2 linked regions of the Oreochromis niloticus genome follow. The protein of the gene in region 1 purifies or fractionates together with the protein of each later gene. This does not show direct contact. Links are inferred from orthologs where the notes say so. Each region holds a gene or a part of one and is shown in the gene's direction. Other genes may lie near its edges.

What was found. The genes of interacting proteins can lie anywhere in the genome.
Region 2: the proteins of plcg2 (region 1) and lyn purify together in Homo sapiens (affinity purification with western blotting; 3 studies listed by BioGRID, with this or other methods). This does not show direct contact. The link is inferred for Oreochromis niloticus from reciprocal best matches to the Homo sapiens genes PLCG2 and LYN.

What each region holds. Positions count from the first base shown.
Region 1 is NC_031972.2:2,876,502-2,883,524, forward strand, and holds the start of plcg2 (1-phosphatidylinositol 4,5-bisphosphate phosphodiesterase gamma-2), read left to right. Parts: upstream 1-4,004; 5' UTR 4,005-4,319; intron 4,320-7,023. UniProt on the Homo sapiens protein: The production of the second messenger molecules diacylglycerol (DAG) and inositol 1,4,5-trisphosphate (IP3) is mediated by activated phosphatidylinositol-specific phospholipase C enzymes. It is a crucial enzyme in transmembrane signaling.
Region 2 is NC_031982.2:5,597,887-5,605,477, forward strand, and holds the start of lyn (tyrosine-protein kinase Lyn), read left to right. Parts: upstream 1-4,576; 5' UTR 4,577-4,768; intron 4,769-7,591. UniProt on the Homo sapiens protein: Non-receptor tyrosine-protein kinase that transmits signals from cell surface receptors and plays an important role in the regulation of innate and adaptive immune responses, hematopoiesis, responses to growth factors and cytokines, integrin signaling, but also responses to DNA damage and genotoxic agents.

The sequences.
Region 1 (7,023 bases):
GAAATGATTTTAATATTATATTCCCAGAAATATAAACGTAATCTGGGATCATCTTGTATTTTACACTCTTCTGAATATTTTCTCCAATTTGTGGCATTAAAATGTCCTTGTAGGGTCTGTAAAATAATAGACGGTGTCGTCATATTTTCTAAAATATTCATCTTTGTAGCTTTTTCTTCTTGTTTCTGGCAGAGCAGGGTTTTTATTTTCTTCATCCTGATCTGCACACATGCTGACTTTTCTATAGTTCTGATGTCAACCAGTAAACCTCAAACTTAATTTGCTAACAAAGGACATATTACATTTACTGTTTTATTCAGTTAAAAGGAAATCCAGGCCTAAATAATCATTCTTTGCTCAGAAGAGACAGCGGGAAATTTCCTCTCTGAAAATAGGCCGACTATAAATTCAGAGTAAAGGAAATGAGGTTGTGTTGCCTTTTTTAAAAAGATATTTATAAAAAAACATTGGATGAACAAATGCTTCCAGTATGTTTCAGCAATTGAAAATACTCACGATCTTTCTTTGGAGTTTGGACCTATGACTAACGCAGGTGAAACAAATGCCTACGACATCTTGGGTTTATAATAATTTTTCACTCATATCTGGTGAGCAGCCACTTTGTCAGATACACCTGTTCAACTGCTTTTTAAGATGAATAATAATCAGCCAATCACATCGCAGCAACTCAGGCATGCTGACATGGTCAAGGTGACCAAAATGTGGCATGAGTGTTGGTGCCAGATTTTCCCTCACACCCATCTTTTATAGAGGAGGTTCATAGAGAATCATCTGAAGAAGATAAAAACATCCAGTGAGCGGGTGTAAACACCTCGTTGATGCCAGATGTATGAGGAGAATGCTTTGAGCTGACTGGAAGGCAAAAATAACACCAATAAAGATTCATTACAACCAAGATGTGCAGAAGAGCATCTCTGAATGCACAAGACACAGCAGCAGAAGACCACACTGAGAAACCGAGACTCCATCTCTTTATTACGACCGTGTCTTCTGATGGCTGCTTCCAGCAGCATGACATACCGCGTCACAGTGCTCAGCTATCTCAAACACAACATTGGGTTCACTGAACTCAGATCAGTCCAGCAGAAAACCTGGGATGTTTTGAAATGGGAGATTTCCATTATGTGTGTCCAGCTGACAAATCTGCCGCAACTGTGTGACGCTAACATGGCAACATGGACCCAAATCTGTGTTTCCAACACCAGCCCAGCATGTGGCCAGCGTGTATATAAGATGTTTAAAGCAAGAAATGAAAAACCGAATGTACTTTCGCTTTAGTAGGATCTGATGTAGGATCTGTACAGCATTACAGGGGGGTTAGATAAAGAGTAAGATCTGTGGTCTGTAGCTGCAGAAACACAAAAAATGATATTTCATGACGATAAAGAAAAAAAATGTCTGGGCCTGCTTTGGATTTCACAATCAGACAGTTGTGGCTGGATTCTGCTTTTATTTTAATTACATGTAATTTTCTTTGTATGCCATGTTTGAGTTACAAAAAACAGGCCAGAAATAGTAACTGTATTTAGCTAAGGAAACTGTAGTTTTGTACTCCAAACATATATGTACAATATAAACAGCACGTATACTACAAGCATGACGAGTTAGTTGTGCTCTGCTCACCTTTCTTGTGAGCAGCTTGCTTTCTCCTCCCCCCCACTCCCTTTTTTCTCTTTTAATACCCTGAATTCACTTTCTTGGCTACAGACATGACTCAGAGTTCACATTAGTACTCACATTGATGGAAAGACTTAGCTGTGCTATGTTGGTGAGTCTGAGATGTTTGAAGGGGCGGGTGCTCAAAGTTAAAAAGAGGCACATAGAAACAGGCTGAATAACAACAAGCCACATTCATCAGGAATCTAATATGGAATGGCATCATACTATACAGAATATTGTCACTGTACACATGTACAGTGGGATACAGCGCATCTCCTACTCAGTGCAGACATTTGGGAAAAGAAAGGGGAGGTGCACAGTTCTGCAGCACTATATAAATAAATAAATAAATAGTGTTATATCTTTACAGTGTGAGTTACTGCACGTAAAATTAAGTGTTGCACAGTGGTGATGGTAGTTTGTAGTCTGTGTATAGAGGGAAGTCCTTGGAGTGGGGCTGGAACTGTGTTGTCAGTGCATGTGTAAGTTCAGGGTTGTTATGGAAGAAACTATTTTTGAGTCTGTCTGTCTTTGTGCTGATGCACCTGTCGCGCTTCCTGAGGGGAGCAGGTTGGACATGTAAAGGCAGCGGGAGGAATAAATGTCCATCGGGGAGGGGAGAGGGCAGCTGATGATCTTCTGTGCTGTCTTGACTACACTCTGAAGTCTTGCTCTGTCCTCCTTAGTGCAGCTGCCGTACCATACTGTGATGCAGTATGTCGGCAGACTCTCAATGGATGAGCGGTAGAAGGTGAGCAGCAGATTGGAGTCCAGTTTGTGCTTCCTGAGGACTCTCAGACTCTCAGACTCTGGGCCTTCTTGGCGACTGTTGTGATGTTGTCTGTACAGGAGATGCCAGCGGAGATGAGGACACCGAGGAACCAGAGGGTGTGGACCCTCTCCACATGCTCCCTGTTGATGTACAGGGGATCTAAGTCAGTGCTGTGCCTCCTGAAGTCAGCAATGACCTCTTTGGTTGTCTTGGTGTTCAGTGCCAGGTTGTTCTCTGAACACCATGCTGCCAATAATTACCGGTGTGAAGGCCACAGGGTGCTAATTGTTCAGGCTGGTGATGGGAGACTTCTTCGGCACTGGGATGATTGTGGCTGAGTTTAGACAGGGTGGGATGGCTGCCTGATATAGGGAGAGGTTGAAGATGAGGGTGAAGATGAGGGTGAGCTGGTGGGCACATGCTCTTAGCACCTACTCTGTCACTGTCGTCAGGTGGGGACAAAGCAAACTTAGCCTATGTTTTACCTGATAGGTACAATGTTGCTGTTGAAGGGTTGCTGCTATTCCCGTGTGTGTGTGTGTGTGTGTGTGTGTGTGTGTGTGTGTTAAAAAAAAAGTCATTAACATGAAATAATGCCTTTATAATGATTGCGCTTGTTTGACTATCCACTCTATGCAGGCAGAAGCTTATTTAATGTTTAAACTGCAGAGAAAGAATAATTTTGCTGCTGTAAAATCAGCATTTTTCACATTTGAAATATAAATAAAAAATAATCTGTTTCTTAATGTATTTTCTTTAAAACACTGTTTAAAAAAATATTGTAGTTATAGTAATGTGTGTGGATATGCATATTAGATAGTTTAGGTGAAATATAAGCCCTCCACAAAGGAGGGTAAGCCCCGTAACTTCCTTTAAAACTAAATATGTTCCCTATAACAGTGGACAGAGCTACAGACCCGTGGCACTCTTACCCAGTTAGCTAGCAAGTAATGACCAGACTACTTGTGCATTAAATAAAAGGAGGGGTAATGTTTGCCGCACTGTTGCACACACAGCACGCTCATTTGTTTCAGACAACTTACCAACGTGTACATAATAACCTAATACTCCTGTGTGCTATAGACTATAGTGTACACCCTACAGTCCCAAAAAAAATATCCAGACAATTGAAATATGATTCGAATTTTCTAGCAAACTAAAACAAAGGCTTGCTAGATTCCTTCCTGCCATTACAGCCCTCGTAACCCCCTACTGTTCTTCCCATTATGATGCCCCCCCCCCCAACTTCCATCACTACTCCTTCAATACAGTCCCCATCTTTTTGGAGATGACTCTCCCGGTGTCCACAGTCTGTCCACAGTTCACATCATAAATCTGTGAATTTTTAAACAGTTTCCACTTTGTTTGTTTTTGTATTTATTCTGATATAATTAATCCCCCCCAACCCCCTGTTGTGCCACCCGTTAATAAAAAACCTGGCAACGCCCCTGTTAGTTGACACTTGTCGGTCAAACAGCTGTGCGCGTGTTTACATGAGCGCGCGAGACTGTGAGAAGACTCACACACAGTGAAACATGTTATAAACGACCTTTTACGACTTTTATGTGAAAACACAAGCCTAAGCATCAGAAGCGCTCATTCTGCAGCTCACTGCCCTCTCGTACTTTGCATAGATACCGTCCTTGCTTCCGGACTTTTTTTTATAACTTGCGGGCTATAATGCAAGTTAACTTTTACTTCCTTGTACACACACGCGGATAGAGGAACTGGCCGTTTTGCGAGTGGCCTTTTTGTCAGCGCTCTACATCCTCTCCTGTTTCACTTTAAAACTTTCCAATCATGATTAGATAGAAGACAAACGAGCGGCGACTTTGGGGAGCTGTAAGGAATCGATTTCACTCACAAGGTAAGCCGGACACTTTACTTTTCTTTATTTTTTTCCTTCTTTTCTGTTTTTGGTGTCAGTTTTCTGGCGGCCGAGGTGTGACACAGTTCAGCTGGCTGAGGGGAAATCCGCTTTTTGCTGGCGGCAGCAGCAGCAGTGTGTGCGGGGCTGCAGAGGATGTGTCTGACCAGGCGGCTCAGCGTGCAGGCAGCTCCGTGTCAGAGCGGGACCGGTACCTCCGAAAGCCTTCACGCACGGCGCACTTTACATTTCTTCTTTGGGGAACTCGTTTTGAGGTGAACCGTTGGGCCCACGTGGAACAGTTTCACCCGTATTTAATTCCAGTCCTTCAAACTTCACTGTGTTGGTCAGGATATTAGACACTGGGCCCTCTGCGCCTTTAGTGTGGGGCTTTGTGTAGCTGTTGTGCCATTTTATTGTAGTTTTGCGCCACTTTTGTGAGACCTTTTCTTTCCCATAAAAGTTGTTTTTGTGTGATGTTGCATTTCCTTGTTGTTGCTTCTTCTTCTGCCTTGTTTGGGGTCATTTGTGTGCTTTTTGTCTTTGTTGGTCATTTTGCGTCAGTTTCACTGCTGGAAGGTATTGAATATTAAGAGGTCACAGATTACTAGTTGCTCTGCTAAAAATGTAATGCATGAATAACTGTAAAGAGATGATCTAATAATGTGGTTGTATTTTCAGCAAATTTTAAGTGACTGCAAGCAGCAGACCTGATTTAAATCAGGGTGTGCACTTATTTTAGTTCATGTCCACATAACGACTAAATGTGATCTCAAGTGTGCCAGACCATTAAAATCATAGCACCATAACCCGTAATGTCAATGTCTTTAAGTAAAGCACATTATGAAAACAATACGTCCTTAAAAAACTGTCAAACAAGCAAAGATATTATTGTTTTTTCTCCTCAAGTGAGCAATCCATCTATAAAACAGGAGTAATAGCATATATGTTTCCCACATTCAGTGACTCTGCTGTCTTTGGATCTCAGTGGAAAGGCACAAAGCTTGACATCTTCACGATTTAAACAACTAATTCAAAGTTCAGGTCTGTTCATGCCTGTGTGGTAAAACTGGCATCACCACACCAGCGGTAGTGTGCTTTTTCTTTTCTGAAAAGGTCTTTGGCACAGGATTGTGTTTTTTATGTTAGATGTTTCCTCAGCAGCACGTTCACTGCTGCTAAACAAGTTTTATTCTATTTAGAGCTGATTTCTGATTCTAAATGGAAAAAACTGTTGAATTTCCAGCTGTGCAAGGCACTCTTGTCAGACAACATGGCCCCTGCTTGGTATGGTTGGCTGATCACAGGCATGGACGACTGAACTTGCTAAGAGCATCACTGAGGCGGTGCGAATTCAAACCAGACAACTGTTCAGAATCAGTGCTCAAACTTTTACTGGCAAACCGTTGGGGTCTGTAGATGCAGAGGGAGCTCCTTACAAAGACTGTTTTGGAGATCTTTGGCTACGTGGAGTGAAGGATTACAGGAATTCAACCAGCACGCAAGCTGTGAAAAATACTTGCACACACTCTTCCAAAAAGCCAACGCAGCATTGCCTTCGTTTAACGCTGATTGGTTGAAAAGGTTAAACAGGAAAGGGAACGACCATAGAAGACTTTACCACAATGATAAAAAAGCACAAAAAACAACAAAGATCAAAGAGACATGGTTAGAAGCAGAGACGGTGGACAGTTTCCACTGTTTTTAGTTTCACAACACCACCAAGGTCTCTGTATGTCGTGACATTTATCTTCTCTGTGGCAGGGATGAAACTGAAGGACCAACAAGTGCACAGCAAGAACACGAGTTTCTCACGTTAGTGGCTGTCCTGCAGATCTTTATCTCTGCCACTTTGGCTATTGTCCACAGCGACAAGACGTAGACGAATTTCTATAAATCTCTACCTATCATGCGTGCACCAGTAGTGCTGGGACCTTATGCCCAAATGTCCACCAATCTTGTCCAGAGTTATGCAAAAGATGCCTTTCCTGCATGGGAAAAGACCAAAAACAAACAAAGAACACAATAAACCCAGAATGTGAGTTATACTGATGCCATATCAAACCATCCACCTGTCCACAACTCACAGAATCGTTAACTATCCTACAGTATGGGTCAGAACTGAATGAAGTTTACAGTCAGTGTGCATGTAATGGGTCTAACACAAGGTCACCGGTTTGTCTCTGTCATTCTCTCACACCAAACCAAGAAAACGCATCACTTTCTGTTTGTGCTTCACACACGGATCGTGAGCCAGATGAGCAGCTACATCAAGATTTCCCTTTATAATCACCAACGTTTGTATGAGGAGCTGTAATTTAATGACACATTTTCTTAGCGACTGAAGTTTCATCCGTTGTGTTGACTGCAGAGGTGGAGTATATCACAGACAGGGCGCTGACTTCATCGCAGGTTCGCAGTTAAATTTATTCAGGAATATCTGAACATAATTTTCTCTTCAGTTTGCATCTTGATCATCGTCTTGTGTCTCAAATTGTTTCTCAATTTCCTGGTTCTTTTTCTTCCTCAGTGATGATCAGTTTGAGTTCATACTGTGTCTGTTTTGTTTTGTTGTGTATCGCTTTAATTATTGTGTCCATCTACGGTCATTCGGTGTCTCCTTGGGAGTCATTTTGCATCTCTGTTTCTTTTTGTGCATCATTTGTCATTTTGTGTCTCTTGCTTTTCTCATTTTAAGTCCTTT
Region 2 (7,591 bases), on another chromosome or scaffold:
TTTACAGTTGACTCCATGATTTTACACTGTGTTAACTGTATAGAATGCATTACTTGTATGAATGGCTCGTGATGGACTGGTGATTTGTTTGGGGTGTACCTGGCTCTCACCCCTGGGATTGAAATCAGAATTTAACTGTCTGGTCGCACAAAGTCCTGTATATAAATTCCACTCGGTTTTATTTATATAGGGCCAATTCACAACAAGGTAAAGATGCTACTGTACTAGGGAGAGAACCCTAATAATCAAACAATCCTCTATGAGCAAACACTTGGCGACAGTGGGAAGAAAGAAGTTCTTTTAAACAGGAAGAGACCTCTGGCAGAATCAGGTTCAGGGAGGAGCAGCCATCTACCATATAGGCAGGAGTTTGAGATGGTTATCAGAATAATTTTTATTTGGCTTAGTTTGTGCACATAAACAAGGAATTTGACTCTGGTTCACTTTAGTCTCTGTATACAAAAAAGGCTTTAAATAGGCAATAGATAAATAGGCATATATACACAAGGAGAATATACATATGAGGACATATTTAAAAAAGTAAGAAAAATAGAAGTTACAGAACATCTTAAGAACTTATACAAACTATAACAAATTTAACACCTTTCAAATTCAACGGAAAGCTGAAAAGTAATGCTGCCTTAACACATCTAAAGCCATGCACCATCCGGAAGAAGTCTGGAGGATCTGAAAAGGTAATGCTTAGTCTTCACTGTGAAAATGAGAGCCAAACTTCTGAGGTGGTCTGTACCAAATAGCAAACCATAATAGTGATCAGAGAAATGCTCCAAAAGGATACAACAACACACACAGTGAGGACGTCCAGTTTAAGGACTCAGAGCAGTGGACGTGTCCTAGCAGGCAGCGATCAGGTGCAGCTGCCTGTGTTGGGGCACAGTGCCCCTAACTCAGTTATGCAGGTGGATGAGTTATAAAATATGGGAAAACTACACATGGAGATCAAAGCTGTCTTTGAGTGTACTCACTTTTAGAGTCAACCTCATCTAGTGCCACCTGGAGGAACTGCAGTTTTTACCACTCCCTTGTTGGCTTCATTTTTCAGCTCTGGAGGGTGCTCCTTGCACCGACCTACACTAAAAACTTTAAAATCATTATTTTTGTACTTTAACTAACCCAAACAAAGGTAAAAATGAGCCCTGCTATACTTTCTACCACCAGGAGAAGTAATAATCTTTTGGTTATATAAAGAGGGTGAGGACAAATGAAGTGGTTGTTCCAGATGAAGAACACATCTAGCAGAAGAGATATAAGTTATTGCAAACAGTGGATGTTACTTTTTTTAAAAAAAGCAACAATTACACAGCTGATGGCATCCAGAAAGTTTTTAATGTGGTGTTCTAACCTGCTATTTTTTTTTCTGTAGATGGAGACGACACCGAGGACAGCCAGAGCTCCTCCTCTTCGGCTCAGAGGGAGGCGGAGCAGAGGAACAGCTAACCTGCAGCACACTCCAGCCCGCAGACGGAGATTTGCAGGATGGAGTGAGGCTCCCACCATGATGAACCTGTTTGTCCAAAGTGGGCTGGTGGCTGGAGGGTAGTACCGTCACTGCTGATATGCCTTCAAGCAGGGCACAGTCTTCCAAATTCAACTGGAGAAGTGCTGTAATGTGAACACCCAGCGTGGCTCTGCTGTGCACTAGAATAACAGATTGATTGCAGGGTGCTTTTCAGAATCGGGGGTAAGCAGAGAGGCCAATTTGTAGCTCTTGTAAAGCTAATTTTATTTTCAGTCTTAGTTACTAAACACTATAGGTTGGGGGACTGAAATAAAGGAAGAAAATAGACGAGGCTCCTTTGTGAGTTTTGTAGTAGTTGAAGCAATTTGTAAGACCACTGACATGTGCTGAAGTAATGGCTCACAGTGGGAGTAGCATGTCTGTAGAAGTAGTGGTGCTGATAGATTGTACTGCCAGTTAATGGCTTTATGCTAACGCTAAGTTGATAATACTGCAGAGGAAAATGGATTGGGCTGAAGTAAACCTGAGAGGACAATGCTGCGGTTTGACTTCTTGTTTATATGCTGAAGAGTGTGTTCACTGTTCTGTACTGTAGAAAGTGGCAGGATGCAACGGAGCAGTAGCCTTGTGGTCTGTTGACACCAATATTACTTAATATTGCACTTTCACTCAGTTTAAATGTCAGTCGCTCAGTGATTAAAGATTGATGTACATGTTTAAAAAAATGTTTATACCTTTTTTTTAAAACCCTTTTCTAACAATTTCATTATCACAACCTTTGAGGAATGGTTTGACATTTTTGTAAATGCATTTCTTTACTTTCTTGCTAATGAAATGATAAAATGTCTATGTGCTATATAATGCATGTAGCTAGAGTTTGTCTTAATAGCCACCAGGGGGCGATAGATGTGGTTGCAAGATCTCAATCCTATGTCTCTGGGTTGTGTTGTTCGTACATGATAATAATATTGTTGGTCCAGGATTAACATAGCAACTGAGCATTCAGTTAGCACTAGCCAAGAAGCTAGTGAATGCTATTAAAAACTGTCACTAGTAAACCAGCACGAGTCATTTGGCAACAGCAAACCTAACTTGATAATACATTTATTATATGGTATTAAATAATAAGGAAAGGACTTGAAAATTTTACCATTTGATCCAAAAGTTGTTGTTTTTTTTCTTGATGTTGTAAAGCTATGACATCACAAGAACATGACTGGTCAGTTGCAATGTTGATCCTAGATGATGCAGGAACAACACCGACACGAGGTTATGGGATACCCCTGTTCCAAGACGATTTCTAGTTCTATTGAAGTCTAAGGGAAAATGACCCCCAGACATGGCCTCTAAAAACTTTCCTGCTGTCTTTATGGGCTCAGCCCCTCATATCAGATCATACCAGATAAAACACTCAGTCAGTTTTGTAAATTATGGTCATTTTAAGTCTCGGAAGGATTATTAGGATCTACTCATTGACTAATAACTTGTTAATCACAAGTTGTTAACCACTGAGTGTTTGCGTTCACATTGACATCCAATCCTCTCTCCTAACCTCCAGTTTCAAAAGACCAAGACGGTGATGACAGAAATGCTCAAAGTAGGAATTCAGACACATATGGGTGATGTTGTCCGGTCTATGGTTAGCGCTGAGGTGGCCTGCAGATGGACATATTAACTAATATGAAGTAAACAAATGAATAAGATAACAGAAACATCCTTACAGGTTACAATTAAAAGATTAGCATTAGAAAAAATCCACCCAAATCTTGCACCTTTACACAGGTCACTGATAAAACCTGTTGCATTTGAATCACATTAAAATATAGTATGTAATATTTCATTTGACATTGATGAGCTGTTTTGTCACATAGTGTTGCTTGGATCAGAGCTGTTGGCTTCACATTATAATACACTGGCCCCGCATTACCTTCACTTTTCAGCGTGCAGGGGGATGAGAGGTGACGTGACCTCCAGGGAGTGCGTAACCAACACTATGAGATAATTAAGGATTCTAAAAATCATAAATCTTGCAACACTCTAGTGTACTAGTGAGCTGCAAATTAGCATAATAGACACTCTTTATACTTGACAGCTAAGCTAATTATTTGCAGGCTCCAGCTACATTGTTAAGAGATTGATCTTCTCATCTGTCATCAGTTAACTAAGAAAATGCATTGCCCAAAATGTCAAACTGTTCCTTAAATGTAGATATGCAATACTCCGTGGAGCTTCCAGGATTTATAACATTGTTTGTTTTCTCTGACACTGAGCCTGAGCTATGTTCCTGCTACTGTGTGTAATAGCTAGCTGACGTTATCATCTGTACAGACCACCACGCATGCACAAAACTCTGTGTTCTGTCATTTTCTTCACCATTTTTGCTAACTATAACCTTCCTGTAATCCTCCAGCTTGACAGTAAGTCGATCATACTAAAGATAATGTAGCTATAACTGTTTATTTTGTAATCCTCACTCAATCAGCTGTTCAGGTTGTAAACTGCCATGTAACTGTTTCGGGGCTCACTCTGGTCTGTTCAGCATGTTGGATTTTGGCAGGTGCATGATTCTGTGAAATTTGTAGCTGTTTGTCTGAATGTGCATAACCGTATTTTCTACTCTCCATGTCAAACAAAGTGAAATAAACTGGACAAGAGGAAAAATGCAAGTCTTCTGTGCTGCTGTACGCCTGCGGTTTGACCAGCAGGTAGCACTGTGAGAGAATTTATGAAACGTGCATTAGACTTCAACTGTGAACAGTTGATAGAAAGTGTATAGAATGATTTATTTAATTTTTTTTTTTTTAAAGGACATGAGACGAAAATAAAATATGTTTATTTTTTTTGTTTTTGTTTTTTAAGAGGATTACATTAAAGGGACTCTATGACACACTGGAAAATTCTCCTCCACTTCAGGTTAAACAAGTATAGTATTTCCATATGTGTAGCGCTGAAAAACCATCTGTCTGCTGTGTCTCTCAGTCTCTTTCACTCTGTGTGTGTGTGTGTGTGTGCGCGCGCGCGCGCAGTGCTGATTATGCAAATAATCATTAGACAATTGTACCAGGAAGTTTCACTAAGAAAGAAAAATCCCCAACCAGTTCCTCATTCACTCATTGGTATAACAGTCCAGGTCGGCCAGCTGACCCACTTGTCAAACCACCTCAACACCAGCGCACTGCGTGTGTCACCCACTTCCATGTCAAGCACAGAGAGGACGTAGCTGAGGAGTGAAACGGTTCTACATTTTGGATTAACCGTTTTCTTAACCTGGGATACAGATTGAGAGAGGTAAGCTGTAACGTATACTGAGTCCAAGTGACATCAGGCAGACGCATGCTTGATTTACACAGACGCATTAGGAGAGGTAAAAGTGTATGTAACTTTTTTTATTAGTAGGAAAAAGGTAAATGTAAGAAGTTTTATTAAATTTAATTATTTTTTGTTTGTTTGTTCTGTGTTTTTGGGGATGCTTTATTAATTAATAAAGCATCCACATGACTGTGCTTAATTAAGCACTGTCATAACTCACATGAAGTATAATTAGTTTAAGGAAAGTTCTCTACAGTGCAACATGTTTAAAATCAATGCTTTATTTTCTATTATAAAAGTTTTATTCGTATGGTTTCATGTATGGTATAGCGACGGATTAAACATTAAAATTCACTGCATTTATTCACGTATCCAGTCTTTTCCTCAGTCTATTGCAAAAGGAGGAAGTGTGTGTGTCATAGTCCAATATATCGTGCGTGTGTGCCCCTAAGCCGTTCAGACCCCTAGTTTCCGGCTGTTTGCTGACAAGTTAAAAATATAACAGAGGCACTGAACCAACAAAGTGCAAAACAAGCCTGTGCAAACCTGCCAAACCGCTGGCTAATGGACTCATTCACTGACCTTTTTCTACCAAGAAAAATATGGTTTCGCCTTTTTCCTTACATTTACTCCCTGCCATCTCAGTTCACAAATGTGTTGTAGGCTGGTTTTCAGGTGTGCTTGTTTTCTATTTGCATTAGGTTAATGCTGTGTTTCCCCCCTAACTCTTAGTCAAACAACTCAATTCAGGCCAGCTAGGTCCAGCAACTTTATTCTGCACTCAGCCCTTCCACATAAATATAAGATATTAACCATTTTTAACATTATATGGTAGGATAGCTGTGTTATCGGCAGCCTAGAAGCAACAGAAGTAAATGCTTTTAGCATGCATAAAGCTAGGTTTTGGTGTTGCTAAAGAAGTACTCTAGTTTCAGATCAACAGTCATTCGTGTTCCCCTCCAGGTGAACCCTGTTGTTGGGATTTGTCATATTCTTTCCCTAACATGTATTACTTTACTATTACTGATAGTAATGTTATCAAGTCAAAATTTCCTTTAAGCTGTTTGGCTTGGTTGAAAACCTAATATGCCTCAATATAATAACCTAATAATATTTCTGCCAGCCTAAGCAGTGCTTTCTCCAATTAGCATACCGTACATTAGCATGCTACCATATGCTAAAGGTGGCTAAAAATCAACATGTTAGCGCCAGCATGTAGAGCATATTAGCTAGCACTAAAAAAAAAACAAAAAAAACAACCCACGCTAATTCGTTTTTTGTGGGGGTTTTCTTTTTTGTTTTGCCCTGTTTTATTTTCTGACTGTCCTGACACAATTCACCAAAGAATATGTCATCTCCTTAGAACTTCTGTTCTAGCTGTTTGAAAAATTTAAAAGGCTATTTGCTGACCTACAGGACTAGTTGAACATGTTCCCTTTTTCTCTGCGGTTCAGCTGCGCACTTTAGTTTCCTGGAGAACGACATAAACTTTTTATTTATTTATTTTTCCGTTGTACTTTGAATAACAGGTGTTAAAAACCAACGTGCCCTTCTGCTCTACAGCAACATGCTTTGTTCTTTTTTTCCCCTTTTTTTCCCTGTAGGGAAGCACTCAAGTTTATTTGACCTGGTTTAATTTTAGTGCTTTATGTTTTTGTGCTTTTAAGCCACATTGCTTGACAATGTAAGTGTAAAAGGTTTTAAAGGTGGTGTTTCGCACTCATAGGATGTTTAGTTTTAATTGTCCTCACTGTTGAGAGCATCTTGTCCTCATAGACTCTTATATAAAAATCCTTTTTATGTTCACACATTACCTTTGTAAAATATTTTCATTGTTAAAATCAAGGTACAAATGTCACTTTGTTTGTCCTTAAAACTACAATATAGGAGATACATACTTTTAATGTTTTTGACTTTTATACATTTTAAAACTTATAACACCTCTCTCTTATAAAACCCAACATCACCAGTTAAAAGGTTGTTGGGTTTCTTTCTTTGTGACTTTGTCATCTTTGTGGGCATGCGGTCAGTATGTGTGCATGTAGAATGCAAGTACACATTGGTGGTGGTGGGCTTCATGCTGGTTAGCAGACAGCCACCCACACAAAAGTCAAAATAAGAAAAAACAATGCAGCAAACACGTACATGTTTGATTTCCCTGAACAGAAACCAGCATTGGATAAATTGCAACCATGTCAGAATACAGGGAAGTAGCAGTGACATTGCGACATATTTTTTTCTAAAGTACTACTTTGAGACATTCCCATTCTTATCGAATCTTTGTTGAGTTACAGCAGTAACACCCAGATCTGGCACAAAACGTAGAATTTTTCACCTGAAATATTAGAGTTTGTGTGAGAAGTGCCATGGCTAATGACATTTAGACTACCAGAAACGTTGGTTACCATGGTGTTGCTGAAAGTTAGATCAAAAGACTGTTACTAGTTGTAATCTTGTTAAATATAAAGCTGAATCCAGTAAGTCATTAGTCTACCTTAGCATAAGGTATAATAAGCAAAATGGTGAAAGAGCTAGCTTGTCTCTGCCAGAAGCCTGAAGCTTGCATTCAAAGCTCACAAATGAAGATATGCTTATATCATAGAAAATGACATGACTGTATGTATTTTAAACCCACTCAGGTCTGATATAAATGATACAAAGCGTGTGCTCAGTCCAGAACCTGTGCATGTAAAACCTCATCAGGTCTTGTAAGATGCTAACGCTATGGATATAGAGGCAGAAGTAGCAGAATGTCTCATTCAAGTCTATTTTGGCTACACTGCATCATCAAATCCTCCCTCT